Linked DNA regions of Arabidopsis thaliana. The protein of the gene in region 1 purifies or fractionates together with the protein of each later gene. This does not show direct contact. Each region holds a gene or a part of one and is shown on either strand. Other genes may lie near its edges.

What was found.
Region 2: the proteins of SWA1 (region 1) and AT2G18900 fractionate together in Arabidopsis thaliana (co-fractionation; one large-scale study listed by BioGRID). This does not show direct contact.
Region 3: the proteins of SWA1 (region 1) and AT3G26480 fractionate together in Arabidopsis thaliana (co-fractionation; one large-scale study listed by BioGRID). This does not show direct contact.

What each region holds. Positions count from the first base shown.
Region 1 is NC_003071.7:19,636,367-19,645,704, reverse strand, and holds SWA1 (transducin family protein / WD-40 repeat family protein), read left to right. Parts: upstream 1-7,026; 5' UTR 7,027-7,102; coding exon 7,103-8,695; 3' UTR 8,696-8,838; downstream 8,839-9,338. Other genes in the region: AT2G48020 (Major facilitator superfamily protein), read right to left, coding at 1-5, 84-148, 218-293, 381-446, 521-586, 672-731, 815-904, 981-1,043 and 1 more; RKF3 (receptor-like kinase in in flowers 3), read right to left, coding at 2,387-4,240; AT2G48000 (Pentatricopeptide repeat (PPR) superfamily protein), read left to right, coding at 4,902-5,198, 5,287-6,435; SCC3 (sister-chromatid cohesion protein 3), read right to left, coding at 8,910-9,136, 9,249-9,338. UniProt on the Arabidopsis thaliana protein: Essential protein required for nuclear division and organization during embryo sac development in female gametophyte, probably by promoting rRNA biogenesis essential for the progression of the mitotic division cycles during gametogenesis.
Region 2 is NC_003071.7:8,184,688-8,196,453, forward strand, and holds AT2G18900 (Transducin/WD40 repeat-like superfamily protein), read right to left. Parts: upstream 7,850-11,766; 5' UTR 7,723-7,849; coding exon 7,603-7,722; intron 7,527-7,602; coding exon 7,341-7,526; intron 7,254-7,340; coding exon 7,065-7,253; intron 6,964-7,064; coding exon 6,558-6,963; intron 6,423-6,557; coding exon 6,304-6,422; intron 6,208-6,303; coding exon 6,130-6,207; intron 5,991-6,129; coding exon 5,850-5,990; intron 5,757-5,849; coding exon 5,712-5,756; intron 5,629-5,711; coding exon 5,462-5,628; intron 5,284-5,461; coding exon 5,205-5,283; intron 5,119-5,204; coding exon 5,042-5,118; intron 4,946-5,041; coding exon 4,816-4,945; intron 4,731-4,815; coding exon 4,598-4,730; intron 4,515-4,597; coding exon 4,348-4,514; intron 4,263-4,347; coding exon 4,100-4,262; intron 4,019-4,099; coding exon 3,804-4,018; 3' UTR 3,550-3,803; downstream 1-3,549. Other genes in the region: AT2G18890 (Protein kinase superfamily protein), read left to right, coding at 30-187, 297-376, 464-599, 955-1,104, 1,816-1,998; AT2G18910 (hydroxyproline-rich glycoprotein family protein), read right to left, coding at 8,329-8,382, 8,811-8,908, 9,201-9,444; LKP2 (LOV KELCH protein 2), read right to left, coding at 10,105-11,695.
Region 3 is NC_003074.8:9,684,849-9,695,999, forward strand, and holds AT3G26480 (Transducin family protein / WD-40 repeat family protein), read right to left. Parts: upstream 6,119-11,151; 5' UTR 5,980-6,118; coding exon 5,860-5,979; intron 5,771-5,859; coding exon 5,594-5,770; intron 5,504-5,593; coding exon 5,357-5,503; intron 5,284-5,356; coding exon 4,938-5,283; intron 4,813-4,937; coding exon 4,694-4,812; intron 4,614-4,693; coding exon 4,536-4,613; intron 4,414-4,535; coding exon 4,249-4,413; intron 4,169-4,248; coding exon 4,124-4,168; intron 4,021-4,123; coding exon 3,851-4,020; intron 3,766-3,850; coding exon 3,687-3,765; intron 3,598-3,686; coding exon 3,521-3,597; intron 3,441-3,520; coding exon 3,311-3,440; intron 3,224-3,310; coding exon 3,094-3,223; intron 3,012-3,093; coding exon 2,845-3,011; coding exon of another isoform or gene 2,821-2,844; intron 2,795-2,820; exon of another isoform or gene 2,770-2,794; coding exon 2,425-2,769; downstream 1-2,424. Other genes in the region: AT3G26470 (Powdery mildew resistance protein, RPW8 domain-containing protein), read left to right, coding at 1,296-1,703, 1,795-2,052.

The DNA.
Region 1 (9,338 bases):
TTTGCCTACAAACACATGTACGACTAATTATTCACAAGAAAGTATACATGTCAAAGCTTTTATGGTGCTTATTGTGGTCTTACCAGCCATCTTGGAGACTCAGGGATAAAAAAGAGGCCAAGGAAGGAGGCAGCGCATGGGATGATTCCTGAAGCCACATTACACACATAAGTATTCTGACATGGATGGAGACTCTCCACGTAAATTCCTTAATTACCTATTAATGCCAAGACTCTCCACGTCACTAGTGTGCCTATGATGAAGGAAACCGACACTCCAGTGCAGATCAGAATCTGTGGCACAAAACGGTAGCTTCTTTTCACAATCCCCTAACAGAGTAGTAAGGGAGACAAAAGATCTTCATGTTGCTCTTTAGTTACCTGGTTCAGTGTGGTTAGAGCCCCTCTGAAAGTTTTAGGTGCAATTTCTGCTATAAAGATTGGCACCTACACACCAAACGTATCATTAACACTGGATAACGAGATGTTGAACAGAAAATGTATTAACTCGATGGGCTCACCACATAGGAAAATGCTCCCATTCCATATCCCGTTGCCAGTCTTCCAAGGTCCAGAGCCACTACTCCCTTTGATTGAGACAAAAAGAGAGATACATTAGGAAAAACTTTAAGAGCAGCATATATAGCCACTGTTTTGGATCCTGAGTAATACCTTGGCAAAGATGATTGCTAGCCACCCGACTACACAAAATGCAGAGGAAACTCTCATCGCCTGGATACAGATCCACCACAAGTAAGTACGTGTTGTCAACACAAAGAAAACTAATAGATGGAAAGTTTCAAACATTTCCTTACCCCCTTTCTTCCAACTAAATCAGCTATAGGCCCGCTTGTTATAGCACCGATCATTGCGCCAAAAGTTAGTAAAGAACCAAAGAGTGAAAACTGCAGAATCCAAGCTAGAGGTAAGCAACATTCAATGAATAAGTGATGAACAATCTTTCCTAGAAGGATTATGTACCTCAGCTATAGTCAATGAAAGGTCATTCCTAATTGCAGCCTGAGCAGGTGAAGAGTATCCCGCCTGCAACGAAACCAAGTTTTAGTATAACGTTCATTTTTAGACCAGAAACAAAGTTAGTGACTTTCCATAAATCTAAAATCACTTACACAAGAACCGAACGCAAAAGAACCACAGACCGCAACGAATGTGCTGAGATAAACCATCCACGGCTGGTCTGGTTTTGATCCAGCCATATTCTTGTCCACCAATGGTTCTCTGACGGCATCACTTGCCTTGGACATCTTCAGGTATTATGTATCTCCCTTGAGCACTTGGCTAACTCAAAAATTGCAAAAGAGACGAAGCCTGAAGCAAAAGTTGAGTAAGAAGACAGAAACATACAAGAAGAGTAAAATGGAAAAGCGGAGGACAAGAATTAAAGGTGAAAACTTTTTATGGGTAAGAGTGACCCTTTAGGCAAGAAATCCTTTGTGGGGTTTGTTACCATTCAAGAGATGAAAGCTGTTTTATGTCCTTTACCAAGAGCAGCCATGGATTACAATCCAAAAATTTGATTTCAGATTTTCTGATGATAACCATTAAACTAGAATATAGCTAATGACAACGTTGAGCCCACTCGGGGGAGTTCAAACAAAAATGAGTTTATAAACTACTTATCCACTATGTGTATACTAAAAGATACACTAAGCAAATTCACATTTAAAAAAAAAAAAGAAGAAAGATGTACAAGTAAAACTGAATACGCACACACATGCTAGTGGCTGGCGTGGATTGGACAGAGACAGACACGTGATGTCTTTGGCCTCTTGTCAAAACCTTGATCTCAGTTTTTTTTTCTGAAATTCTTGTGAATCATTCATTAATCATCCAAGAAAAACAGAAAACTCACGCAGATCCATTTGAATCAGATCTGTCTTTTTTATCTTTCTTGTTAACATTAAAAGACGTGACTGTTGATACAGCGATCTTGCTTATGTAACTCGATCGTTCCTTCTTCTTTCAGAAAGATTTTGTTTATAAAAATTTGAGTAAAAAGAAAAGAAAAGAATGTAAGATAACCCACCCACCAAAATGTCATTGCAAAGTTGATTAATGACGTTAGCAGAGAAATCACCGGAGCGGATCAATCAAAGTGTTGCACACTCACACATGGATATCTTCATGGACCTCCGCATCTTTCGTGTCTTTTTCCAACAAAAGCTTTTGTCGTGGTCTGACATTTGATACCAATGTGAAATGTGTGTATATATATATTTCTAAGCCTGTATAATATTGCATCCAAAGCTGTTACAACAAGATGAGTTTATTGGAAAAAGCAACTGTACTTACATAAGTGACAGAAGAAGCATCAAAGAATGAAATGAATGCACACTAAATTAATATCTACAACATACATATCTCATCTAAGTGGTATTCGTGTTCCCTGAGGGGCCATCACCTCCGAATGAGAAGGCCTGATATCCCGTGGGGCTAGTGAGCTTCCCTGAGCCACTGCTGCTACTAACAGAGCGGTCAATCTCTTCCCTACAAGCCACCAGAGGGATTGGCCGTTGAGGTATGGCTATAACAGTGAACTCATTGCTCTCCAGCATTTTCACCACTTGATCCATTGTTGGCCTTGCGTGGAGCTGAGGGTGAGAGCACAGCACTGCTATCAGCACATACTTCTCCAGAACCTCTGGGGGTCCCTTCTCTGGCATCCCGTCTTCCACCACATCCAATGTCTGGCCTTCTCTTACCAGCGACCACGCCCAGTCTGCCACCGACACAGGCTGCCCCTCCTCGTCTGTCACAATCGCCTTTCTCCTGCTCAGAAGCTCTAGAAGCACCACCCCAAAGCTGTACACGTCGCTTTTCTCAGTCAGTTGCCCGTACAGTGCGTACTCTGGAGCAACGTATCCCATAGTGCCTGCGACCCGCGTGCTCATATGAGTCATTCCTTCGGGGTTGAACTTGGCCAGCCCGAAATCCGCAACCTTGGCCTCAAACCTCTCGTCCAAGAGAATGTTGCTGGCCTTGATATCCCTGTGGATGATGGAGGGTTGTGCGCCGTAGTGTAGATAAGCCAGTCCTCTGGCCATGCCAAGGGCGATCCTCTGCCTAAGAGGCCAGGCAAGCTGAGCCTCCAAGTCGCCAAAGAGATGGTCATGAAGGCTACCGTTACTGACAAGATCACAGACAATGATCCTCTGGTGACCTTCATAGGGCGTGGTTGCAGTACAGTAGCCTCTGAGGGCAAGGAGATTGACGTGGCGGATGCTGGCGATGACCTCGACCTCATGAGCGAAGTTGGCGTCCCCTCCAGCAGAACAGTTCTTGAACCTCTTGAAGGCAACCTGGGTGCCGTCGGGCAGGGCGCCCTTGAAGACGTTCCCGTAACCTCCCCGGCCAATGATGTTGTGGCGTGAGAAATTGTTGGTGGCTTTCTTGATCTCGTCGAAGCTGAATTTGACAAGAGTGGTGCTCTCGCTCATGGAATCAAGTCTAGACTGCGTGCCAGCTTCTAAACTAGTATCCCGAGGCTTGAGAAGCTTGCTTTTCTTCCTCCGGCAGTACCAGAACCAAGCGGTGATAACCAGAACAGAGGCGACGAGCAAAACAGAGAAAGAAGAAACTAGAACTTTGACTTTGTTAGCACCGGAGCTAGTGGGAGAAGCCAAATCGAGCTGAAACAAGCATTTGGCGGTGCCTTTGTCGGTGGGGCCCAAGGAATTGGCGAAAGCAGCGGCGTAGATAGAGGGAAAAGAAGCACAGTCGGAGACATTACCGAGGGATGGACCGGAGAGATAGGGCTGAAACGCGGAGAGGCTCTGAGTGCAGGAGGCGCAAGGGGTATTGCTCTCGAGAGAGGTGTTACAGCGCATGGCGGTGGTGGCGAGGGAGGAGTTAGGGATAAGGGATTCGAATTGAGACCTGGTGGTGATGTCCATGCACCCCTGCGAAATCCACGGCGTCTGGAAACCGCAGGTGGATCGGACGTCAAAGCGAGGGAGGAAACCGGCGACGGAAGACTGGAGAGCAGCCCAGCAAGAAGCAGCAGACTCAGGTGGCGGGAGAAAGGAACCCGTCTGACGGAGATGGTGAGAGTAGAGGAGGCGTAGCCCTTGGAGGAGGTACTGGCAGGTGGTGGCGCCATCGGGTTTCGGACGCCGGAACGGTTCAAGGACGGAAAAGTCCAGAGGACACGTGGAGTTCTGAGCGGCGGAGAAAGAGGTGAAGACAAAGAAGACGACGGCGATTCGACGGAGAAACAACATCTAATTCGAAGAAAATTACTAATTGACAATAAAGACATAACATAACACTCTCTCTCTCTCTCTCTTTGTTTCTTACACTCATTGACCCACTAGTAATATTTTGGTCATTAGTTAAATATATATATACTCTTAAGTGTATTATTGATTGTGTTATTTACTTGATTTACTTGAAACGGTCAAAACATGTCATGAACCTAATTGAGTCTCATCCACGAAGTTGCACGAGAACTTTCCTTTCACTTTTTGTTTCATTTTCATACTATTCAATCAATAGTGGTAATCTGGTGAGAGATGATAATATTTAAAATTCTTGATTGGATCCTGAAGAGGTCTTACCTACTCATGTTTCTGTTTCGTATTTAATAACAAGCCTAATTGCATTATCTAATAAATCCAAACGTGTCTTAGTCTTATCATAGCTCTGCTGCTCACAATTACTAATCTACACGTGATGGCCGCCGGAACATGCGAAGAAAAGAATCTGTGTTAAGTGTGTATTCTAAGAAATTCTATATTCCACCGTTTGACTTCAAACCAACAAAAATAAATGGACATTTCAAATGGGCCGAGAAATGACGAAAAGGCCCAAATAGAACCGAAAGGGCCGAATCATCACCCTTGACTTTGAGAGAGAGCATCTCAATTGCTCCTCCTAGTCTCCATGAAGAAGCGCATGTGGAGAATCTCACTGATTTCCCAGATATCTGATCTGCTCTGCCTTTCCCGTGGCTCTTCTTCAACCTTGAAGACTCTGACCCCATTCTGCTTTACCCTCTCCAGGTCTCCCTTCCACCAATCCGGGGGCGATGATGATGCTTCGGGATTGAAAAACCAATTGTTGCGCTTCCGTAATGATTCCGGTAAAGTTGCCTCCGTTTTGGAGAGGAACAAAATCCAAGGAGCTGCGTTTGTTGAGCTCCTTAGGCAGTTACGTCCATGGCCCGTTTTGTCCCAACTGGTATACATACATCTTTTTTGTCTTCGAATTTCACAACCACAAAAGAAAAAGCCTTTTTTCCGTCATGTTTGATGTTGTTGCTTTGCAGGTGTTCGACTGGAGAAGAAACAAGGCACTATGCGATGGGTTGCCTATGACTGCTGATGAATACGCTAAGGGCATTACCATTTCTGGTAGACTGAAGAATGTCGATTTGGCCCTTTCCTTGTTTCACGAGTCTGCAAACAAGACCACCTCCGTCTACAATGCTTTGATGGGTGCTTACCTCTGCAACGGTTTGTCTCATCATTGCGAGCAGCTCTTCCTTGACTTCAATTCTCAACAAGACGGACCCTCCTCTTCTACTCCATCTGTCTCTACTTACAACATCCTCATTTCTCTTTATGGCCGTTTGATTATGGTTGAGCGGATGGAATCAGTATTCCTACAGCTTCAACAACTCAATATCCTTCCCGATTCCAGCACCTACAACAACTTGATTGCTGGGTACATCTATGCTTGGGATTGGGATAAGATGGAAGCAACTTTCCACTCCATGAAGAACGGCCTTGTTAAGCCTACGCTTGCCACCTATTTGCTGATGCTCAGAGGGTATGCAAACTCGGGAAATCTGCTACGGATGGAGGACATGTATCAAGCCGTCAAGCGTCACGTTGACAGGAATGAGATTAAGTTAATCGAGTCCATGATTTGCGCATACTACAGGAGTTGTCACAAGGATAGGATCAGAAAAATCAAGACTTTATCCAAACTTATCCCCAAGAAAAGTTACAAGCCTTGGTTGTATTTGCTCTTGATGCAGGTCTATGCTAAGGATGATAATCTACATGCCATGGAGAATTTCATAGACCAGGCTATTACAAAAGGACTCCAGATAGAGACAGATGGTATTATGAGATCAATAGTGGCTAGTTACTTCAGGTGCAATGCGGTTGATAAGCTTGCCAAATTCGTGCAGCGTGCAAACTCTGCTGGATGGAAAATGAGCAGGTCTATGTTCCATGGCTTAATGATCATGTATGGATCTCAAAAGCGTTTTAAAGAGATGGAAAACGTCCTCTCTGAAATGGAAAGCTTTAAAATAAGCCGGTCCAAGAAGACGCTTTGTATTCTGCTTAGAGTATACGCAGCAACGCATGGACAGGAGCATAAGGTTAATCAAGTCGCAGGAATGATGTTAAAGCATGGACATGATTTCCAACGACCTGAAGCGAGTAAAAGAGTTATGGGAAAATAGGATACTAGAGAGAGAGATATGAATAAATACAAGCAGCATATTTTGTTGGGAAGGATTGTATGCATCCAGGGATTCGATTTGAACCCTATAGCATCAAGGAATCAAACCATTGAAGCAGAAATGTCTCCGTTGGCGTATAGCATCCATGTGTCTTTGATTGTAACATTGTAAGTTGCTCTTTTGCGCATTACTTCTGGATATACATGATGAATAGTTTCGTACTCTGTGGTTCTTTCAGTATACAAAACTTCTTCCTTACTTGATCATTCTCCAATTTGCCTGATATAAATCAATCCACATGCATTATGTGTTAAGCACAAGATTGATGAATCACCTTTCCTTGTGGATGAATCGAGGAATTCGGTTTTTCTTTTCAGAGAAATAAGGATTGAGAAACTAAAAAAATCAGAAGAAGAAAGGAAAGGAGAGAAGAGATAAATTCGTTTAGTTTGTCCAAGTTAAATACGAAGGTTAAGTAAGGGCTTCAGATGCCAACAAATTGGTAGGCCCAATAACATAATAAACGAGGCCCAAAAACTTCATTTGGATACTTACTTATCAAATGTCTTCTTCGCCATTCTCTGCTTAAACCCTAAACCAGCCTCCTTCTCTCTCTCTGTTAGCTGCGTTCTTCTTCAAGCTAGCTCTCTGCTTGTACTCTAGAATAATGGAGGAAGAGCTTCGTGTTCGGCTGAATGACCATCAAGTGTCAAAGGTTTTCCCTGTGAAGCCCAAATCAACGGCGAAACCTGTTTCCGAATCGGAGACTCCGGAATCGAGGTACTGGTCCTCCTTCAAAAATCATTCCACACCTAATCTCGTCTCCTCCGTAGCCGCTTTGGCTTTCTCTCCGGTCCACCCTCACTCCTTGGCCGTCGCTCACTCCGCCACCGTCTCCCTCTTTTCCTCGCAGTCGCTTTCCTCCTCCCGCCGTTTCTCCTTCCGCGATGTTGTCTCCTCCGTCTGTTTCCGTTCCGACGGAGCTCTTTTCGCGGCATGCGATCTCTCCGGTGTGGTCCAGGTCTTCGACATCAAGGAACGAATGGCTCTCCGTACTCTCCGCTCCCACAGCGCCCCCGCTCGATTCGTCAAGTATCCAGTTCAGGACAAGCTCCACTTGGTCTCCGGAGGCGACGATGGAGTCGTCAAGTACTGGGATGTCGCCGGAGCAACAGTCATCTCAGATCTGCTAGGCCACAAGGATTATGTCCGCTGCGGTGATTGCTCGCCCGTCAACGATTCAATGTTGGTAACAGGCTCTTACGATCACACGGTGAAGGTGTGGGACGCCAGAGTCCACACGTCCAATTGGATTGCCGAGATCAACCACGGACTCCCAGTGGAGGACGTCGTATACCTGCCTTCCGGTGGATTGATCGCAACCGCTGGTGGCAACAGCGTCAAGGTATGGGATTTGATCGGAGGCGGGAAGATGGTTTGCTCCATGGAGAGTCACAACAAGACCGTCACGTCTCTCCGCGTTGCGAGAATGGAATCGGCTGAGAGTCGACTTGTGAGCGTTGCTTTGGACGGATACATGAAAGTCTTCGATTACGGGAGAGCAAAGGTGACTTACTCTATGAGGTTTCCTGCTCCTCTCATGTCTCTTGGCCTTTCCCCCGATGGTTCCACTCGGGTAATCGGAGGGTCTAATGGCATGGTGTTTGCCGGTAAGAAGAAGGTGAGAGATGTTGTTGGAGGACAGAAGAAAAGTTTGAATCTCTGGAGTCTGATAAGCGATGTGGATGAGAGTAGGAGAAGGGCACTGAGGCCTACGTATTTCAGGTACTTCCAGAGAGGGCAGAGCGAGAAGCCATCCAAAGATGATTACTTGGTCAAGGAGAAGAAAGGATTGAAGCTGACGAGACACGATAAGCTCTTGAAGAAGTTCAGGCATAAGGAAGCTCTGGTCTCGGTGTTGGAGGAGAAGAAACCGGCCAATGTTGTGGCAGTGATGGAAGAATTAGTGGCGAGGAGGAAGCTGATGAAGTGCGTGTCGAATATGGAGGAAGGCGAGTTGGGAATGCTGCTAGGCTTCTTACAAAGGTACTGCACTGTGCAGAGGTATTCAGGATTGTTGATGGGATTGACGAAGAAGGTTTTGGAGACGAGAGCTGAAGACATCAAGGGTAAAAACGAGTTTAAAGGGCTTCTCAGGAACTTGAAGAGGGAGGTTAATCAGGAGATTAGGATACAACAGTCTCTTCTAGAGATTCAGGGTGTTATTGCTCCTTTGATGAGAATTGCGGGTAGAAGTTGATCTAATCAATATCACAAGTTTTGTTTGTTTCTTTTTTTCATTATATGCCTTCAATTTTGTTCTGCTAATGATAGATATTTCATGGTAATGTCTAAACTTGAAATGATGGATTTCTATAACAAAGAGCAGTTTTGTTGGTTTCCTTGACTGTATCAACTAGAAACAAACTTTTAAACACATAAATTATGTCGATTGATAAATGTTTTACCCGTCGTCAGTGTCCCTTGGACCGTTCACCCTTGAGCGCTTTCCGTCTGGCAGCCGATCTAATTGTCTCGATTAGAGGAGCGTCCTCGTCGAGCTTATCTTCTCTGTCTGACCCGCCACTAATAGACTCATCCTCATCGCTTCCACTTTGCTCATCAAACAGTCTCTTTCGCTCTGTTTCCGGACGTTTTCTTGGCCGTCCCCTGCGTCTTACATTTGCTGCTTCCTTGTCGTCTGTGACAGACGCATCATCACAAGTCAAGACTTAAAGCATGCAGACATATCATACTCATCTACCGGCTTTGATTAAACCAAATCAGATGTTGTGCGAGTGCACATAACATACCTTGTAAATCCTCGTTTTTCAAGCATTTCTCCTCCAAGGTTTCCAAGAAGGTGAAGCAAGGACGCCATCCACTGGGATCTTCGTCTGTAT
Region 2 (11,766 bases), about 11 Mb from region 1:
AAAGATTTGTTATTATTGTTTTTGTGTAGATTTGAATCAAGCACCATTGGAGTGGGAGACAAGGTATAAGATTGCAATTGGGACAGCAAAAGGGCTTCATTATTTACACAAAGGTTGTCAGAGAAGGATCATACACAGAGACATTAAATCCTCCAATGTTCTCTTAAACCAAGATTTTGAACCACAGGTCCTCTGTTTTTATCATCTTATTATTTATTTTTACTGTTTCATTGTTTATTCATTTTCTCTATTTTTGTAATAATATTAAAAGAAACAATTATCTTTGTTTTTTTTAGATATCTGATTTTGGATTGGCAAAATGGCTGCCTTCTCAATGGTCTCATCATTCCATTGCTCCAATTGAAGGCACATTTGGGTACTATTTACTCAAAATTTTATTTCCATTATTAATAGAATATGTTTTGTTTTTGAAAATAATGATTTACAAAAATAAACCAAACAGGCACTTAGCACCAGAGTACTATACACATGGGATTGTGGATGAGAAGACTGATGTGTTTGCCTTTGGAGTGTTCTTGCTTGAACTCATTTCTGGTAAAAAACCTGTTGATGCTTCTCACCAAAGCCTACACAGCTGGGTAAATCCAAATTAACTTGAATTTTTATCTTAATTTTTGGTTTGACTAATCTCCAATTTTTTTATTATTATAAATAAATCATATTATCTAAAGTGTGATTGGTAAAACTGGTAGAAATTTCATACATCTGTTTAATCACTTTTACACCATAGTTTTACCAATCAAACGTATACTCTACCAATAGCTAACAACATTTAGATGGTTTAGGTTGTTTTTGTACACCTAAAAATCGGTTCAACTATTTTCTTATTCAGTCATATGGATTTGAAGTGTTAATAGATATTTTTATAAACAAAATATGATGAGTTTATTCGATATATCTCCATGTTACTTATACTTATAAATTGTAATCCAGGCAAAACTGATAATCAAAGATGGAGAGATTGAGAAGCTGGTGGATCCGAGGATCGGTGAAGAATTTGATCTGCAACAACTTCATCGCATTGCTTTCGCCGCGTCTCTCTGCATCCGATCTTCTTCTCTATGTCGACCTTCCATGATCGAGGTACGTCCATTAAACTCACTAATGGTTAACTTGTAGAGTGCATCATTTGTTTGTTTACTTCTCTTCATTTTTACAAGTGAAAACTTATCTAGGCAACAAAAGAATAATTTAGTGTCACGGAATTATAGGTTTTTTATTAGTAAAGAGAAAGTTATTTATGATTGGTTCATGATGAGACGTAATCGTGTCGATATGTTACTCAACGATCGCTTTTCAGTTAGCTCATCGGCTGCGTGACTGAAAAAATGTCTTTGGTCATTAACTATAACCATCTTTATTTAATGCGACATATACATCAAACGTTAAGCTTATGTTGCTTTTTCTTTGTTATTGAATAAAGAATAGTAGTACCTTTCAACTTTTTGATTTAATTAAAAAATTGTACTATATATAATATATGGGAAAAGCTCAATTACCGACACCTAATCTTAATCACAGTCACATACTACAAAACAAAACAAGCACTATATTTCTGTTGTGATTATTGAGGATAATGAAGAAAAGTGGCTCATTTACCGACACTTAACTTTAATCAATATATGTAATTAAAAACAAAACAAGAACTATTAAACCGGATTTGCAAGATCAAAACTTGGCTTACAAGAAAATGTTACTACATTCTTAATTACAAAAATTGATAATACGATTTGTTCTTGATTACTATTGTTTTATGAATCTTTATGTTTATGTGTTGATTTATGGTACATTTAGGTCTTAGAAGTACTACAAGGAGAAGATATAGAGAAAGAGAAATGGAAAATGGAAGAGGAAGAAGAAGTTAAAGAAGAGTTTTGGGGATATGAAGATCTTGAGGATTGTGAATGTGATTCTTCAATCTCACTTTCTCCTCCTGACTCTATCTCTAATAGAAGTTCTTCGCATCGTAGTCGCTAGATCTAAATTTAGTTGTAAAATGTTGAAAAATCAATTTTGTTTTGTTGTATATATTTGTTTAGAGTTGTCTATTTCATAAACAATTGTAGTATTCAATGAGGTGTTTTATTTATTTTTTGGATGTCGACTGTTTATAATATTATAACCAAACTCTATCCAGAGTTTGCAAAGTCATGATATCATCTCACTAAAAGCCACATTAAGAGCTAGGGTCCTTGTTGATTTGCATTTACTAGTTAAATTGTTACTTATTAAAGTAACACAATTATTTTAATAATTTCTCATCAAATGTCTTTTGGAAATTGTAATGCAAATAAAATAATGAGTGGTCAAATCAGCGAATAAAATGCCTTTTTCATTAGCCCTTGATTTTATTAATCTCATGTATGCAATCAGTGGAGTCGACTTCAGTGTTAAAAGAGAATAGCTGAATGCCATGATTTAAAACATTCAATATAAGAATTGTCTATAAAAACTAAGTCATTTTTTATAAACATAATGCCATGATCAAAGAGTCTTCAAGATCCCTGACTCAACCAATTTGAGCATGCCACGCCCTAGGATACCATTTGATGATCAATGATTCTATCTAAAACTAAAAACATTAATCATTATATATACATAATTTGTTTTTAATAATAATGCAGTCTTGGATCAATACAACAATAATAAGTTAAATATGTGGATACTTATTTGGTGTGGGAGCCCATGCCAGGTGTACGACACAGAAAATTATCGTAGTACCACTCTACAATTAAATATCCCGTAAGTATAAAGTCTGGTATTAATTATGTTCATAGGTACTAAATACAACATCATTTGATGTTTATGTCGATCGTCTTCGTCACTTAGCTACTTAACTTGATTGTTACAAAAGATTTACGTATCTTATTTTGTGTGGTTGATTAATAAAGTTTCCTCTGCAAAGTTGGGTAGCCAATTCAACCACATTTGTAGAATTTTAAACAAACCTTTTATTTAGCTAAGATAAATAATTTGTTGTTTGAAGGAAAAACAATGATCTTTTTGCAAAAGTAGAAAGCTTTTCGAAGACGTAACACAAACCTTGCAAACTATTGTCCTACATGCATGTGGAAATAAAAATAAAAAGGTAAGTGTCCCCAAAGCAATTACCTTTTTCATGTACTTAAAGAATAATTTGCTCAACATATTGGACCACCAAAAGAGCTAAATATATAATAGATGAACCTCGAATCACGAAATATGAAATATCTATTTGTATTCCCATTTTCCAACTTAATAATGCAAAATGTTATCAAGCAAAGTTCAAATAAAATAATGCAAGGTGTTAGTTGAAATATTTGGATTTTGGAATAATTTCTTTTGGTGGGTTAGGAGCACCTGACTCGTTTCACAATTATTGAGAATCTATTAGCAAAAGTAAAAAGTCCCCAAATTATTTTGCTTATTTCCACTAAGGATATATAACGATTTCATGAACATTTTTCAAATTTAAAAACGAAGCACCCTCAGTATAATAAATCTCATTATGATTTCAAGAACAATTTGCATTAAAATATATAAATGCATGCCGTATTTTAGAAACGAAAAAAAAAAAGGCAGGTCGTGATATTTCATTTCGTTTTTGGGTCAAACATGGCACAATTGGTTAGAATCCTGTATTTTTTGAGTAGCAACAACATAAATAAACTGGACCGAATCTCACAACAAAGAGCTACAAAATTTCCTGAACAAACTCAACAACTTTGCTCACCAAAGATGGCTGCAAAAATGAGCTCTTCTTCTGTATAATAAACCTTACAAAAAACTTTTTGTGTAAGGTCTCATTCCACAACGGCCGTTCTTTTCTCCATTAGGGACTCAAAGAACTCAGCACATAATTTCTGAAGTGGCGGGAAATTTAGTGTGGAGCCGCTGAATATTGTTTCCCACGGTCTTTCTGATGATACAAACGGTGTTCCCAACGACTCAACATCCTCCATTCTCTTCTTGTCATAATCAGGTAACTGCCCGTATAAGGATGTGTACCCGGCGTCTCCTAAAAGGTTGAGACTTTTTCGATTAGTAACATGGTATAATCAACAAAGGTTCTTTCAAATATGTTTTAAGTTTTAACTACCTGTCTCTTCCAGACCAGCAAGACCATCGTAGTCAACAGCGCTACGCTCATGTGACTCATCACTATTGGGATCAAAGACAACATATTCATGGCTTCCATTTACATATGCAAGGCGAAGCTGAGACTTATCTCCTTCTAAAAATGAGATTGATCCTCCCCTAGCCTGCAATTTAGACATTGTTTAACTCGTTGGATTCTTTCCTGTCTCTCCAAGGTTAAATACTAACGGGCTATTTCTTATGTCATACCTTCATCACAGTCCATATAGATACCGGCTTGGGATCTGATCCGTTAAACAAAAGAATGGCACCATCTCTACCACGGAAGATGTTCTCCTTAGATTCATCTGTTTTAAAAGTTTTTGGGATCACAGCCAAGACTGCAAATGCTGACGAATCCACTGCAGAGGTGACAGCTATAGAACGAGAACAAGCATTTTCTAAGTAAACCACAGCAAGAGTTTTCATGGGGAAATCAAAGAAGCATTATAATACTGACCTTCTATGCGTAACCCATATGACCATGATAAAGATAACTTTGATGTATTCCAAACAGATAGTTCAGGTCTTGGAATATGGGATGCAGCAACAAGGAACTCAGACTTTCCAGCGAAACAGAGCTTCGTGATAGGCTGTAATAATATATAGAGAGGTTTAAACATTGGTCTTTATGGAAAAAGGTTCCAGCTTTTTTAGGGATAACTTCATAGGTTTTACCGTGAGTGTCGATCCTAGAACAGACAAGAGAATGTTCTTATCTGGATTCCACAGTGTAATAACATTCTCAGCCGCAACAGCCATAACAGTGCCATCCCCAGAGAAAGCAGCAGCAGTCATTGGTTTCTTCCTGGAAAATATTCAAAGGCAAGAGAATATAAATTTGATCGCCAAGGCGAATAATTTGTGAATGTTGAAATTTCCTAGCGCGTAGAGAAGCTATTACTTATAAGAGCCAACAGCGTGACATATCCAGCTAGAGTCTTTATCCGTCTGGTTCTTGTCACTGTTGCATACCCAAATCTGAAACAGCAAAAGTGATATCAGTAAGACAATAATAACAAACAAAAAACACAGAGAGAAAAATGTAAAATCAGTTTAAGAACTACCTTGAAGTCACCACCGAATGATGTACTCACTGCCATGGAGCGGGTAGGGTGGAACACAATGGCTGAGACACCGGCATCCCTGTAAGATATACAGGAAAATAAAATTTACTCTCTGCAAAGGATATAACAGTTTGTAGACTAAATAAGAGAAATTGAAATCTATGTTTGCAAGGTTTACAAGAAATAAAACATGACAAGAAAATTGGGTAATGGTGAAAAATAAAGCTTTATCCATTAGCAGAGGGTGAAATATTAACCTATGAGGTTCATATACGATTGTGGATAAGGTGAAAGTTTTGCTGTCTGGTTCAGACGCCCAAAACTTGAGGGACACTAAGCCTCCTATTCCATCTTCCGGAAGTTTCACCTCGGTTGTACTCATCACTGAGCCATCCAGGGAGAGAGCAACCGCTGTCACCACAACCTATTACCGTTTACTCAAATTATCACCCAAACGAAAATAATCTTAGATATACTATCAAATAAACAGCAAGGAAATGTACTTACTGTGATCTCATCTCCTGGTTGATGGTTTCTCTCACAAACTTGAATCTGCAAAAGCATTGATTAAAGAAGTTAGAGATTTCATAGACAGGAGAAAGTGGCATAGAGTTTCTTAAGGATATATTGGAGCCAAATTCTAACCTCTGAAATTCCCCGGTCATTGAGAAGATTATATAGCTGTACACAATAATTCTCTGTGCACAAAGCAGCTATGCCAGAAGATCGATCAAAGGCAACAGTACTAGCCAAGCCTTCATACATCCTAGGCAATGATGGGGGAGGCTGTAACAAAATAACACACATTGAAGTAAACACCAAGAAAAAGGTAAAGCGGTTGCGAGAGTTTCTAGAATCCTAGAATCGTTGACAAAACTGACGAGAATGATTACAGGTCCTTAATTATTAAGTTTCCAAGACGAACCTTGATTCCAGAAATGGTCCTTAAGATCTCCATGGAAGGCATTTTAAGCAAATGGATCTGATTATCTGCACAAACCACCTGCAGCTCTCATTCGTAGTCAAATCAGTAAAACATTCCCTTTTGCTTTCAGCAGTTGTGTGTTAGATTAGAATGAAAGAGTAAGCTCCGACTTACAGAAGAAAGAGTTGGATCTGGAGACCACATGAAATACAGCAAGGGGGATCCTATCCTTGGTAAGAATTTCTTTTTCCCTGTGTCTAGCTGCCAAACGACAAGTACCCCTTCCCTTCCCCCTAAAGAGTCAGAAAACAGACGCAATATGGAGTAAGAAGTCAGGACATTACTTTCAAACAGTAAATTTGCTCATGACCTATTAGTCTATGTCGGTTCATAAATCCAATGGATATCAGAATATAACTCGGCCGCACCTGAATACAAATATGCTCCATCGGAAGAGAAATTAAGGACATTAACTTCAGCAGAATGCCAGTGCCATGTAGTGCAAGATTCAGCATCATCTTCACCTCTCACTCCAGCATTGTCCAAATCAACCATGGCTCTCACTTTTTTCTTTTGATTACCCAAGGCAAGTTTTCTATTACCAAATCCTCTCCAAATCAACACTCTTCCAGTTACATCTCCAGCAGCTATAACTCTCTCCGTGGGATGAAAAGCAAAAGCATTGATAACCTTTGTGTGATGTAATGTCATCTTCCTTGAAACCGCATGCCTTGATCCTCCAGAAGGAACATCCCATATATGAATTTTACACTTGTGACGGATTCCGAAAAATTCTCCCGAGGGACTAATAACAATAGATTCTGGTTCTGCCGTCTACACAAAGAAATAAGCAAATAACTTGAGCTTACACAATTCAACTTCAAGACAACATTAAAGACAAACCTCTTTCAAATAAGTCCATTAAAAAAACTAACCTCTTTTAAAGTATCTCCACGAGGAATACGCGACTTAGCGAGGTTAAATCTTCGGATATGTCCACGCAACTCTTTAGACCCTTGGTTAACCACACTTATATCCTCAACGGAAACATAAGCAACCAACTTACCAGACAACTCACGACGTTTATCAATTTGTTGAGGTTCGCTCAAAAGAGATGGTATAACCTAAAACACACAAAACACATAGATTCATTTCATCAAACAAAACACTCACAAAACCTAATCAAAGTATCAAACTTTTTTTATACTCACCATAGAGTAAATCGGAAGCTGAGCATCAATAGTTTTCAATAGCTCAGGTCCAGAGAAATCCCAATGACGAATAGTACCATCAAGAGAAGCAGTCCAACAATAACAAAGGATTTTTTGAGCAGGACTTGATGCAGGAACAACAATTAGAGTTGTTACTGGAGCTGTATGACCTTCAAGCGAAGTAATCTAAAACAGAAATGTATCAATCAATGATTCGAATAGAAACCCTAACAAAATCGAAGAAGAATTAAATTTTTGGTACCTGTAAGCCAGTGGCGGCGCTGAAAACAGAGACAGTGTTTCCTGTGCAGACGAGAAGCTTTTTAGCGTCGTTGGAGAATGATGGAGGTGAAGTTACGTAGCTTCTTCCGCCGCGTTTCATGGTTAATTTCCGGCGATAGAGAGAGGCGGTGAAATTGGGAAGAGAAGAAGAAAAGGGAGACGCACAAAATTGGTTTACTTCAAAAGCCCTAACTTAAACCCTTCTTCGTCTCTTTTGTTTTTTTTTCTGCTCAATTACATTTCAGTTTTTATCTATTTATTTAATCGGAAAATATTAAACAATAATGTTTTTGGGCCTTTGTAATGGGCCTTGTTAGGTTTGATGAAGATAATTATTGAAGTTTTGAGAGGTATCTAGCAAAAGTTTTCATGTATGACAACAATCAAAAGAAAAACACTGAGCAAACTTTTTTGAATTGAGACAATATATAGATTATAACGATACAATTAAAAAGTAAATAATGTGATTAAACTTACAACAAACCAAATGACCAATGACATCTCTCCATTTTGCTTTGGAGATTTCACCATTGTTAGATGAAACTAGAAAGAGCTACTACATAGGTTTTGAAATATACCAAAAGAAATCTCTAAGATTAAATATCATCTGAAGAGAACTTTCCTCAAGACTCAAGCTTTTTTGAACTCTCTCAGAAAAACAGATTTTAGAATTGGCCAAAGGGGAAATGAGTTTATACATGGTTGCTTATACACTCTGTACTTTCCCCGGCATCTCCTTTGCTTTCACGGTCTTCATATCCTGCGTTCGATTCAAAAGATATGTGTTAACTACAAGATTTACTTGAGGAACATAAGCAAATCAATGACTAAAGAGAGTAGTAACTCTAAAACCAATCAATGACATTTTTGACTACCAAATACCAATGAACAATTTTTACAACTGATATTGAGTGAATATCAAGCTTCAAATATGTTGTATCAATTTCATTGGTTGTATATTGTTATGTTCATTAGCCTAGAAGCAAAGAGCAAAAAAACACTTAAACTAGCTTTACTTCTAAGCTTACGCAAAATGTACATGAAACAAAAAGCTGATGAATCAATCGGACTAAAGGAATCGATTATCGATAGAAACTAGTACAAAGAACGATACAGGACCCGCAAGAACAAGAAACTAAACATATAGAGACTCAAAGGAAACATATAGAGACTCAAAAAAAAACTTACTGATTCTTTGCTTTCGTAGTACTCATCCAAAGCCCACTGATACTTAGATTGGTTTAACCCAAACCACCTCACCAAATGATCATCCACACTTGAATGTGCTGTAGTCAAATGGATTAGAACACACACACACAACATGAATGTCAAATTCACAATCTAATTGCTTTTAGGACCAAATCACATAAACAGTATGAAAAGCTAGAATTCATGTAACATTAGTACTTTCCAATCACTTCACAAAGATAGAAACTTTACAACGATTTATATCATTTTTGAGTTCAATTTCCTAATCAATCAATCAAAGGGTATCGGAAAAATCAATCTCAAATTCAAGATCTAAAAATGAGGAAACTTTGAGCTGAAAATCAGTTAATTGTTTATCAGATTTCTCACCATTTTGAACCTTTGTGACGGCGTTTTTAAAGAACCCCAAAACTGAGCCGTCCTGGTCAGAAGAAGCCACCGATTTAAACTGCTGCGGCGGAGGAAGAACCGGTGGTGCCATCACAGGCTTCTGAGACACAGCGGAGGGAGATTCAGGTGGTTTAGGAGTCGCAGGAGGAGTCATAAAGACAGTGTAAGGACCGATTTTTCCGATAACAGGAGGAGGTGTTGATGGGTCTTTGTTGATCGGCATCTTGAAAGTGTTAAATTGAGAGAAAATGAAAGAGAAAGTTTTCAGACAAGAATCTGAGATTAAGAAGAAGAAGAAGAAAGGTTCTTGCTTGCTAGTTGTAGTTGCAAGTTGCAGACAGTGAAAAAGTGGAAGATTAGTTTCAGGGGAGAGAGTGAGGTTTTGGTTCGTCTCTGTGTTTTTTTTCTTGCAAGTGTAAATGTACTTTACTTTTCACACTGACCAATGAAAGAGTCAAACACACTTCACATTTCTTGCATTCTTTTTTTTTTCCTGCTTTTTCCGACGAATCTTTCTTTTCTTTTTTTTGGTCCTTTTTTTTCTTAATAATTCTTCAAAAAAAAAAACAATTATTATATGATCCGTGGAGAAAAGATCTAAACCCTAAACACAATAATTTTGATTTCAATCAGACATGAAACATTTTGGGAGGACAAAAAAAAAGGTTTGGATTTAGATCATTTGGCCACTTGCACTACAAAAGACGTTATGTACAATCCAATTCGTAATATTGCATATACAAAAAAAAAACATTAAGTCAACAGATGAACAAAACATGGACGTATCAAACTCACCATGTACAGACAATATGAACATGTTTTTGATCAATGTATAGATCTTTTGTCCAACACATCTAAATGCCTTTTTAACTTCATCACTTGATCAAGTACTTGCAGTGGTAGAAGTTGCTAGTAACAGTTCATGTGCTTCATTTAACATCCACTCTTCACCGGTCTGACCACCTAATACGACCAATCGAGTTCCTCCGACCACACATGTTGTGTGTCCCCATGCAAACCTCGGCGGACCTCCCTGAACATTCAGTATTCTCCATGCCGGTTTCTCCTCATTTGGATCAAGAAGATAAAGCTGAGAAGCCGAGTCAAGCCCTGCAACCGAACCACCAAAGATCAAGATTCTACCACCGGGAAGGCTGATTGCCACATGGTCCAGCCTTGGTGGTGGAGCTGCCATGCCTCCGGGGAGGCTAGATCCATACCCAATCACAGGTCTCCAACTCGGTTCATCCTCGCTAAGATCCATCGTGTATACATCGTTAGAGCGGAATCTCAAAGTACCGTTTTTAGCTAGACCGCCAAACATAAGAATCTTGCGGTCACCATAGACAGTTAGAGTATGCCCGAGGCGAGATGGGGGAGTCCATGGAACCGGTATCTCCCTCCAAGCAGGTATATCCATCGATAGGTCAAGCAGGAATGTATCGCTGAGTAGAGCTCCTGAATCAGCACAACCACCAGATACAATCAGCTTAGTGCCATCAAGTGTGCACGAACTGTGCCATGATCTTGGTATTGGAGGGGCCAATCCGGATACTTCCCTCCAGCTTGGTGGGTCTGCATCAAGGTCTAATAAGAACACATCATTGAGTAATCCGTGGCTCCCGTAACCTCCAAACACTACTAAACGGGAACCGTTGACACAAGAAAGTGTGTGACCCCAGCGACCCGGAGGAGGAGAGCTGACCAGAACAGATTTCCACTCGGGACTACTCGAGCCAAGGTCCAACACAAATGTATCATTCATCGGCTGCATATTCACACCTTCCCCGCCAAAGATAACAATCCTGTTCCCAACTGCACATGCGCTGAAATTACACCGAGAAGGCTCAACAGTACCTCCAACTGAAAACTTCCTCCATGCTGTTGCTTCGTGAGTGGTGAACTCTCGGGCCAGTCGCACCCAACCAATCCTTTTTGCACCGGGAACACTCTCAAGAACACGTGTTGCCTCGGTACCCCATGTGTTTTGACAGACCATTCTCCACACATCATCATTCTTTGTCAACTCATTGAGCCGCCTACATACACAACCAACCGATGCAATATCACCAGGAGTCAACTGTGACAATATCTTGATAGCTATTACTTCATCACTCAGTTCGAATATCCCACAGAGTCCACGAGAAACATTACGCTCTCCGATTGGTAAAGCAGAAGTAAATGAGCGAGATATTCTAGGAATTTCTTTTGCAGATAAATCAGGAGATGGGCCAAGATCAATTTTTGCATCTGTAAATAAGAGAACGCCTATGAAATGAGTGATTTCGTCTTCTTCACGGATAGGGACTAGACGCAGCTTGTTCATCAAGGGAGATCCATCTTTCCGAAAGTTGAGCAACTCGCCTTGAAACTCGATGCCATTTTCTAGACATTGTCGCATCTTCGCTACAATTGTAGAATCTACCATTGGATGCCTTCTTTTAGTAAATGGCCCTCTACATTGCAAGAAACGGCTGCCAAATAAAAAACAACAGCACAAATCAGATACAAGACCCTCCTATTCAATTCATCGAATAGATAACTA
Region 3 (11,151 bases), on another chromosome or scaffold:
ACAAGATAATCAATCATACGCGAAACACACTAATCGTGAGGACAATTATCGCGTATATGTTTACTAAATTTTATCCAATCATTAATCGCAACTGCGACTTGTAGTCGGTACTGAATTGTGATGTTGTGTCATATTTGTATAGTGATTGATAAATATTAATATATAATCGTCGTGTCATAAGTAACCTGAATCCATAGATTTGATAGTGTGACTGTGCTTGCGTGTGGAAGTTATACTTATACATGAAAATATGTATAAATTAAAATCACATATTTTTATTAATTTAGAGATTTGAGGTAGAACGAAAAGATTAATTTATTTTTGCATTTTATGGATCGATATTAAAAGTTTTGAATGGTAAGTCAGATTTTTGGTAGTCCAAAATGTGTGACAGATAAACTGTTTTTAATTTTTAATAAGCAAAAAAATAAAAATCAGGCGGCTAACTGCATACAATTTTTGTTTTATTGCTTTTTTAGTAATAAAAGTAGATTAACTGCGTACAGTTCTTTCTCATACGTTAATGTGAGTGGTCCAACGGCAGTCCATAATTTTGTAATAAATAAAAAAAACAAAAGGTAAAATAAAATATTAACCTTTTATTCTATAAAAGCACAATTCTTTTTTTGTATTTTGTACCATCACACACACTACAAAAAATGTAAATATCTCTCTCATTTTTTTTTAACGTTGCTTTTTAAGCTTATTATCCAATATTCTGATATTGCCTTAAAGAGCAGGATTGAAAAATATATGATAAGTTTTCGTCGTTTTATAATTTGTTTATATTTAATAGTATACAACTGGTATTGTAATTCATTGACGTTAATTTTGCTTAAGTTTTTGAACTTTTTAGAATCTATAACAATATGGTCATGTTTATGTTTTTGCTTAAGTTTTAAAGAAAAAAAGTAAAAAATAAAAAGGAATCTATAAGATTTGCTTGTAACCACAAACTCAGCAGTAATATGTACATACACCAATCAAACGATTTAATATGATCATATTACGTCAGTGTATATGTCAGTAATTTGACTCTAAGAAACCTTAATTAAAAATTTGTAAACAAGACAATATGCCAAAATAAAATATACGTCTACCTTCTCATTAATTTCCTTGTTTCTTCTTCATTGAACTCTTGAACAAATATTATATGGAGATGTCACTTGTCACTTCGAGTTGCTAGGAAACTTCCACCGGTGAATTCCTCCTCTATACAGATTAATTAGTTCATATCCCCTTGTCTCTCAGCTCTCTATCTCCACACTTTTTCTCTTTAACATATCCTTTACTAAATGGCCGTCACTGATTATTTCGCCGGTGAGATAGCGACGGAGCTTTTGAAGCAGCTCTTTCTGATATCTGCGAGAGCAGGCCGGTACAAAAACACAGCCGACAACCTCAGCACCTTGATCGAGAACATTCAACCGACGATCAAAGAGATCCAGTACAGTGGAGTTGAGCTGCCTGCTCACCGCCAGGCTCAAATCCGTATACTCTTTGAGTCTCTAGAGAAGGGCAAGAAACTCATGGACAAATTCTTAACATGCAATCGTTGGAATATGATTCGACAGTTATATCTCATGAAGAAAATGGAGAAGCTAGAGAAGACCCTCTCTGATTTCTTTAGGGCTTCCATTTTGACACACATCCTTGCCGATCTTCATCTTCTCCGGGCCAATTCTGATGAACGTTCCCATGAGGTCTATCTATCTTTGTTTTCTTCTCTCTCCCTTGTGATTTCTTGTTCACCAAGTTTGAAGGCCATCTCTATAATACTCGTTTCTTTTGCAGCACGTCACATCAACCAAAGGGTGTGACTACGACGGACTTGGCTCAATTCAGTACCAGCACATCCAGCCTAACCTAGACATGGATATGCGGGTCACCATTTTGGAGGCTGAATTCCGCACCTTCTCCAACAACGTCATCAACAACATGCTTGCGATGAAGCGAGCGCAAGATGTCTTACTACGAGCCAACGGCTTTGACCCCGAGACCCTCCTACCGATGATGTCTCCTCCTGCAGCCTCCATGAATCCTCCTGCTTGACCACATACGACTTAGGATACTTGCAACCCACTCAACCTTGCGGACTACGATCTTTAAAACACAAATTGCTTTCGATTTATGTTTTTCAATTTGTTAAATTATGTTTCAGTCACAATTTTAAATATAATTTATCGTCCACTACTCTGTTTTAGCTTCTTCTTTTTCCATACGTTACAATTGACCTTACTTTTTTACGTATTAAAGAGAGAATTGGTTTATACACCTCAAATCAGCAGGTTCTACATGATGAATGAAGCCCTTTTAATATCAAAACAACCCTTTTAGTAGCTGAAGGAATCAGATTGTATCTCTAACAAAAAGGCTACCAACAAAATGATGTTATCCAAGTTGGGTTCCAAAATATGGGGTCTCTCAAGAGCTATGTCTTTCAGGTTGTCTATCTGCTCTCTCACACACCTCTTTCTGCATCCGGGAACTGAAGAACGAAGCGCACAAGTCGGGGAAAGGCGGGAAATTGAGTGTTGATCCACAAAACATTGTTTCCCAAGGTTTCTCTGACATCAATGCTTTCTTCCTAGATCTCTTCTTCTTTTTGCTTATTGCTGCAAGAAAAACTTCATAATCTATGGCGCTAGTCTCGAGTTTTTCATCGCTATAAGGATCAAATAGAACATATTCATGGCTCCTGTTTACATACGCGAGAAGCGGCTGAGACTTTTTACCATCTTCCACAAATGAAAGTGTTCCTCCTCTGGCCTGCAATAAACATTGTAATCAAGTCTCTTAACGGCAATGAGAGAACTTTGATTAATCCTTCCTTAGAGTATATACCTTCATTACAGTCCAAATAGCTACTGGTTTAGGGCCTGACCCATCAAACAAGAGGATAGCACCATCTTTCCCGCGGAATATCTGTTCGTTAGATTTTACCAACCTATCAGATTCTGGAAGCCATGTTAAAACTGCAAAGTATGGTGAGTCCACTTCAGTAGCAATGGCTGCAAATAAACAGGAAAAATGAAATATACTTAGACAACCAAAAAAATCAAGATTTCATGATCAAAAAGATAAATAATAAACCTTCTATGTATAATCTATATGACCATGATAAGCAGAACGTCATCAGATCCCAGACAGATAAGTGCGGTGTGGAACCATGGGATGCAGCAATAAGGAAGCCTCCTCCAGTGAATGAGAGTTCCATAATTGGCTGAAACATTTACATATCATTTAAGATTTCAACAATGACTGTAACTAATGAACATGGAATTGCTTTTGTGTGTTATACAAGTCTTACCGCATTTGCCTTTCCAACTACATACAGGAGTTCGTTCTTTAACGGGTGCCAGATCGTAATAACTGTTTTAGCCGCAAGAGCCAGACAAGAACCATCCCCGGAAAAAACAGCAGCTGTTATTGGCGTTCTCCTGAAAAATATTACATCAATTTCATTTGACATCACAACGACTAAGTAATGAGAGATGTTAAAAGGTTCCTAATCTTTTACTTATAAGAGCCAACTCCATGACAAATCCAGTTTGAGTCCTCAGGTGTCAGATTCTTGTCGCTACTGCAAACCCAAATCTTGACAGACATAAAGTCATATCAGTAACACAAAAGGTCAAACGATATTCCAAGGAAATGATCCATTTTTCACTACTCTGTAATCCTACCTTGAAGTCCCCAGCAGAAGATATACTAACAGCCATGGAACGGGCGGGGTTAAGGGCAATGGCTGTAATTGCAGCTTCCCTGTGAGAATACAGAAGGATCAAAAGTTACACTCACGATGAGAATCAAGGAGTTTAAAAGTTTATAAGAACATTGAAGTAAAAACCTGTGAGGTTGATTTATGACTGTCGATAAGCTGAAAGTTTTGCTGTCCGGTACAAATACCCAAAACTTGAGAGAAACTATGCCTTCACTGAAATTGCTTGCAGCAAATCTGGCCTCAGCTGTAGTCATTACTGAGCCATTCCGAGAGAGAGCAACCGCAGTCACGAGAACCTATTTTCCATAATTCTTCAAATTATTACAAAACAGAAAGAGAGCGGATCTTTTACTAGTAACAACTATGTCATCTTACAGAGAAGAAACAAAATGTACTAACCCGGACTTGATCATCATCGTCTGGATGATGATCGCAAATTTGAACCTGCATATGTTAGGTTTGTTAAATAGTAAAATCATACAACTATCAGATACAAAACTCAATAAGCCTTTTGGGAAGCTAACCTCTGAAATGTCATGGTCACTTAAAAGGTTGTAGAGTTGAACACGATGATTCGCTGTGCAGAAAGCAGCTATACCGGAAGAACGATCAATGGATACAGTTCTGGTGAGGCATATATCCCGCGTTTTGACGTAGCATATAAACCCGTGACGCTCTGGTGTCGGAGGCTATTACATAGTAAAGAACACAATATGCATGTGAAGTTAACTCCAACAGAAACGGTATACAATATGAGCATGCTTAAACCAACAATAACAAGGAAAAATTTCGGATGATAGTAAGAACGAACCTTGATTCCAGATATCGTTCTCAATATCTCCATGGAAGGCATTTTAAGAAGATGAATTTGATTATCTGCACAAATCACCTGAAAATTCTTGATCTTAGTAGAGTTAATGAAACACTTCATTTGCTTTCTACGGTTGTTGTAAACGGAAAAACTCTTACAGAAGAAAGAGTTGAATCTGAAGAGAAGATGAAATACAACAAGGGAGATCCAATCTTTGGCAAAAGTTGCTTCTTCCCTGTACCTAGCTCCCAAACAACAAAATCACCTGCCTTTACCCCTAAAAGAGTCACAAGCAAAGGAAATATAGCATAAGAACTCAATATATATATATATAAGAAACATGAATTCCTTATCAACACACAGAGATACAGTCACTATGATGAAAAAATAACTCAGACTCACCAGAATACAAAAGTGCTCCATCTGAAGAGAAATTAAGGACGGTTACTTCAGCGCTGTGCCAGTTGAAAGTAGTGCAAGATTCAGTATCATCTTCAGTTTTCACTGAAGTAAATTCTCCAATACCATTATCCTTCCAAATTAACACTCTTCCTGTTACATCACCGGCTGCTAATATTCTCTGATTGGGATGGAAAGCAAAAACAGTAATCAACTCTGTATGATGTAATGTCGTCTCCTTTGGCATGAGGTGCTCTGATGCCACATTCCATATATGTATACTGCAGTTATGACAGACGCCGAAAAACTCTCCAGAGGGACTTAAAACAATAGGTTTTGGTTCTTCCATCTGCACATTAACAAAAATGATTATAGAATCAAACATGAGGCTAATCGAAAAATGGTTAATCCACAAATCTGACCTCTTTCAAAGTGTCTCCACTATGAAGAGGGTCTTGAGTGAGATCATATCTCCGGATTTGTCCAAACAAATCTTTGGACACACTTGAATAGTCCTCAACCGAAACATAAGCAATCACGGAATGTGACACTTGAGCTGGAATCATCACCTACAAAGTCCCAACAGACACTTAGAAAAGGGCAATTGAAAGTTATCAAATTTTTGTTTATAAGCTGCAAAGTATGGAACTTTAACAGACCAGAGAGTGAATTGGAAGGTGGGTATCAAATATCTTCAAAAGCTTCGGCGCAGAGAACTCCCAAATCCGAATTTTCCCATCGAGCGACGAAGTCCAACAGTAACTGACGGTTTCGTCGGAAGACGGATCAACAATCACAGACGTCACAGGCGCTGTATGATCCTCGAGTGAAGTAATCTTAAAAACACACACACGCATACGCTAATGAGAGAAGAAGATTAGAGGGAAACCCTAAAAGGAAGGATGCTCGAGTCGAGAGATAAAACCTTTAAGCCAGTGGCGACGCTGTAAACAGAGACGGTGTTGGCTGTGCATAAAAGAAGCTTCTTTGCGTCTTTCGAAAACGCCGGAGCGGAAGTAATGTTGTTTCTTCCGCCGCGAATCATTTTCCTTCAACTCACGGAGATTCTGAGAAGACGCAAACATCTTACTCGGCGATTAAAAATTAGATTTTGCGACGTTTTTCCGACGAAATATTACAATGTACCCAGTTTTCGAGGAAATTATGTCTGTGACCAAATTGCGACTAGTACTTAGTACTATATGCTTGTACTTGTAGTTTCACTTTCTTCGTAACACCTGGCTCTGTGATGACTCCTCTCATTCTCTTCCTCCATGTTTGGGTTTCGCTTCTTGGACTAGGCCTTGACCTTGTTGGGCCTCGGCCTGTTTGTTTATTTTTTCTGTTTTATCTTTAATAAAATGAGACGGCAAGAAAATAACTTACATAATTTTTCAAGATCTTAAGTATTTTGTATTTTCTTAATTTATGTGAAAAACCCTGTGGATAAACAAAATATAATGTATAGTCCAATAATTGGAAATTTTGTAGTTAACAAACTCACTTCGTTTTAACAAAATATGGATGGATGATTCAGAGGCATAGTATGCGACATTAACTGTATTACAATGGTCGACAATGACTTTGATTTTTGAGGTCGTCCAATAAATACTAAAATGTATGGGTATGATTTTAGGTTGACCAATAAACTTCGATATCCATCGTTAATTCCATGAATGTTTTAAAAAACTGAAGTTGCTTCTATTATATATAAGTTAATCTATTTTATAATTTTATTTTATGACAGTTTAGCTATAATTTCTTTTCAAAAACATTTATGTTCTTAATTTATCAATCTATCACTTTCCTCGTCAACATATTACTTTTTTTATAAATCTTTTGCATATGACTAGCTTATCGGAAAATCGTTCATATAGATAGCGACATAACTAAAATAAAATTAGAAAGATGATATTGTTTTGATATAGTGTTTGTTTGTCTTGTTTCAAAAGACTATGCAATCAACTAGTTGTGCGTCTTGTGGATCTAACAGTTTTAAAAATGTTTAGGGTCAATAGTTTAATCAGACTTGGAACGGTAGTTTATACCTTTAGATACAATATTATCTAAGGTTAATTTATGTCATGGAAAAGTTATATATAGACAAAATGTTCAAAAAATTTAGGATTTATTGTGAAAAAACGAGAAATGGTAGATGATTCATATACATATCAACTTATTCCAAAGTAAAAAGTTTAAGAAATAAGAAAAATAAAAATTGTAGCGTAACAAACATTGACATATGGCTCGTTGGAAACAAACTAAATGTAATAATTATAGTTGTTCATCAAACTATTCGCATACAACCATCATGAACGATGACTAAAAATGGGAGACAAAGTGGGACTTTTGTAAATCCTACGTTTAATGAATTAGAATGTTGAATTATTTTTTCAGATTTTTATACATATGAATTGTTGCTTTCAGTGTTCTCTTAACCAATGAAAGTAAAGATGCTCAAAGGCTAAATATAAAGAAGATAAATTTCATTTCTCTTGATTATTCTCTTTAGGGTTTAAGATTACATCATGTTTCCTTTCATAGGCATTATAATCTTAGTGACACTAGGGTTTTCACTGACACATGTCAGGTCTCTATTGATCCTAGACAGTCAAAACAGTTTTGTAAAACCACTCCTTCTTTTCCAGCACAGCTCCTTGTTTTTGTCCTTTGATCCAATCTTGATGTACTTTTGGTTTTGTCTTCTTTTGCAGGAGATGACCGTTGGAGCTGAGAGTTGTTTAGGGTCTGCGCTTGGGCCTGTTGTTTATTGGGCTTGAGGTTTGCTGCATTCTCAATTTGGCCCAATCTCAGAACCTTCTTGATAATGTCATCTGAAGAATTTACCTTTACAGATTCCTCTGCTTCGTGTCCGATCACAGCTCTGATCTGGTTCTTCTCTTCACCAATCCGAGTTGTTGTCTCAACACAAGATGCATTCTCTCTAATAGCCCCCCGCAAACTCGGCGTAGGTGGAACATCGACGCCTAGTTTGTAACGAAGATCGCAGAACGGCTTGATGGGGAGAGATTTGGTGAAGATGTCCGCGATCTGTTGATGACCAGGTATGTGCTTCACAATCAGAGCTCCAAGTGCTACTCTCTCTCGAACATAATGATAGTGTAGCTGAAAGTGTTTACTTCTTTTGTGGAAAGCTGGATTCGCAGAGAGATACACGGAGGAGAGATTGTCGCAATAGATTTCTGGAGTGTCAAGTAGAGGAATGCCCAATTCCTTGAGAACAGATCCTAACCAGGTTACCTCCGAGGCAGTGTCAGACAGAGTTCGATATTCAGCTTCGGTTGAGCTTTTGGAGACTGAATCTTGCTTTTGTGAGGACCATGAGATGATATTTGTACCAAGGAAGGTACAGTAACCTCCAATGGATCTTCGTGAGTCTATGCAATTTCCATAATCACTATCACAGTAAGCTCTCAATCTGCAATATGTGTTCTTATTAAAGGAGATCCCCATTGTTATAGTTCCCTTGATGTACCTCAGAATTCGTTTGAGCAGATTGAAGTCAGACACTGTTGGAGCATGCATCTTCTGGCAAACAAAGTTAACAGCAAACTGTATATCAGGTCTTGTTAAGGTAAGATATTGAAGTTTACCTGCAAGACTTCTGAAATATGTTGGATTGTCAAAGATTTCATCTTGTGCAGGTATAGCAGTCAACTGAAGTGGCAGATGAGTAGGCATTGGAGCACAATCACTCATCACAGCCACAGCAAGAAGATCTTCTGCATACTTCTGTTGGGAGAGAAACATTCCTTCTGAATGAAACTGCACTTGAATCCCCAAAAAGTAATGTAGTCTTCCCATATCTTTCATTCTGAATTCAGTATTCAAGCTGTCTAATAGCTTTGACATCGCATCTGAACTGTTTCCTGTTATTATCATGTCATCAACGTAAAGCAGCAGCAGGATGATACTCTTGTTCTTGATGTATACAAACAAGGATGGATCCGGCTTGCTACATTCAAAGCCAAACTCAATCAGATAAGTGCTAAATTTATCAAACCAAGCACGTGGGAATTGTTTTAATCCGTAGATAGACTTATGCAAAAGACAGACATGATCTGGCTTTGATTTCTCTACAAAACCTGCAGGCTGCATCATGTACACTGTCTCTGTGAGATCACCATGGAGGAAGGCATTCTTCACATCCATCTGCTTTATGTCCCACTGCATGATGGTTGCTAGGTGAAGAACTGATCTAACTGTCGGAGTTCTCACCACTAGGCTATAAGTTTCCAGGTAATCAATGCCTTCTTCTTGATTAAATCCCTTTGCAACCAGTCTGGCTTTCAGCTTGTCAAGGGACCCATCAGCATTGAGTTTAGTTCTGAAAACCCACTTGCTGCCTAATACATGCATATTTGGTGTATAGGGCACCAAGGACCAGGTTTTAGCTTCAGAGCAATTGTCCATTTCTTCGTGCATTGCATCAGTCCAGCCTTCATCTTTTAAAGCAGCTGTCACTGTTTTAGGTTCCGGGTAAGATACTCTTTGAGTGTGTAAACCATACCTCGGATTTGGTTTTCTGATTCCATCTTTTAATCTTGTTGTCATAGGGTGGGTAGACTGAGATGGCTGAGCTGTTTGGACCTGAGATGACTCACTGTTGGAAGATGCACTCTGAGAAGATTGATTCTGAGTAGACTGTTCTGTAGTTGATGGCAGCGGTTGAATGATAGGAGAGTCTTCTGAGGTAGTGATTTGCTGAGTAGAAGAAGAAGAGCTGTTGCCTATAGGAACATGATCAAAGCCTGCCGTACACCCAGTACTCTCCTCTTCTCTCAACAAAACCCTACCAGAAGGTACTGAATTTTGATCATTGTGATCTTGATTTTCTGTTGAAGTACCAGTCTGATTCTGTTCTTGTACTGAGCAACCCTTTAACCAAGCAGACATCAATGGTGTAACATTTGCAGGTTGCAAGTGAATGTAAGCCATAGATGAAAAAGGAAAGAGTGACTCATCAAAGATGACATGACGGCTGATATACACACGCCCTGTGGTTGGAAGTAAGCATCTGTAGCCCTTATACTTGTCATTGTATCCTAGGAACACACACTTGAGTGATCTAGGGTCGAACTTTGTGGTTGCATAATCTCTTAGGGTAGGATAGCAGGCACACCCAAAGACACGTAGTGATGTGTAATTTGGAGGCTTTCCCATTAGAACTTCATAGGGACTGCATTTCTTCTCCAATACTGAACTTGGTAGTAGATTGATAAGAAAATTTGCAGTGTAGAACGCCTCAACCCAATACTTCTGTGGCATACTACTTTGGAATATCATTGAGAGTCCTAATTCAATAATGTGTCTGTGTTTTCTTTCTGCTAAACCGTTTTGTTGAGGTGTGTGTGGACATGACATCAGTTGTTGAATGCCATGTTTTTGTAGATGAGCTATGAAGTCTTTGCTTATAAACTCACCCCCACCATCACATTGAAAGGTTCCAATTTTCTATTGAAACTGATTCTCAACCATTGCTTGAAACACAGGAAATATCAAAGCAAAGTCTGATTTCAACTTGAGGGGATAAAACCAGCTGAAGCGTGAGTAATTGTCAATGAGAACAGCATAGTATCGAAAACCTTGTACTGACATTATTGGTGAAGGACCCCAAAGATCACAATGTATTCTTTGCAAAGGTCTAGAGGCTACAAACGAAGAAGCAGAAAAAGGTAACTTAAGACTCTTCCCAAGCTGACAGGCTTCACATACCATCTTGGTGTTTTTGTTGACTGAAATAGCTTTAGTTGTTGACAGGTGCTGAAGAATCTGAGCATTAGGATGACCGAGTCTTCTATGCCAAACAGCATCACTTGCAGCTTGCTGTCTTGAGGAATAGTAGACTTCAAGAGGTGAGTGATTCTTCAACATGTACAACCCCTTATTGTGATGCCCCATTGTTAACAACCTCTTTGTTGCCTTATCAGTAATACGCACAGTGTCACAGTCAAATTCAACACAACAGGGATAGTCTGATGTGAGCTTAGAAACAGATATCAAGGATTTATTAATATCAGGACAAACTAGAACATCAGTTAAAGGAAGATTACCTGAGGTTGACTGAAGACTAGTTGATCCAGTGTGAGTTATGGGGAGAAACTCACCATTACCAACCATTACTGCATCAGATCCTGAGTAAGGCTGAGACTGCTGAAGCCTATTAGTTGAGTTTGTGACATGAGCTGTTGCAGCC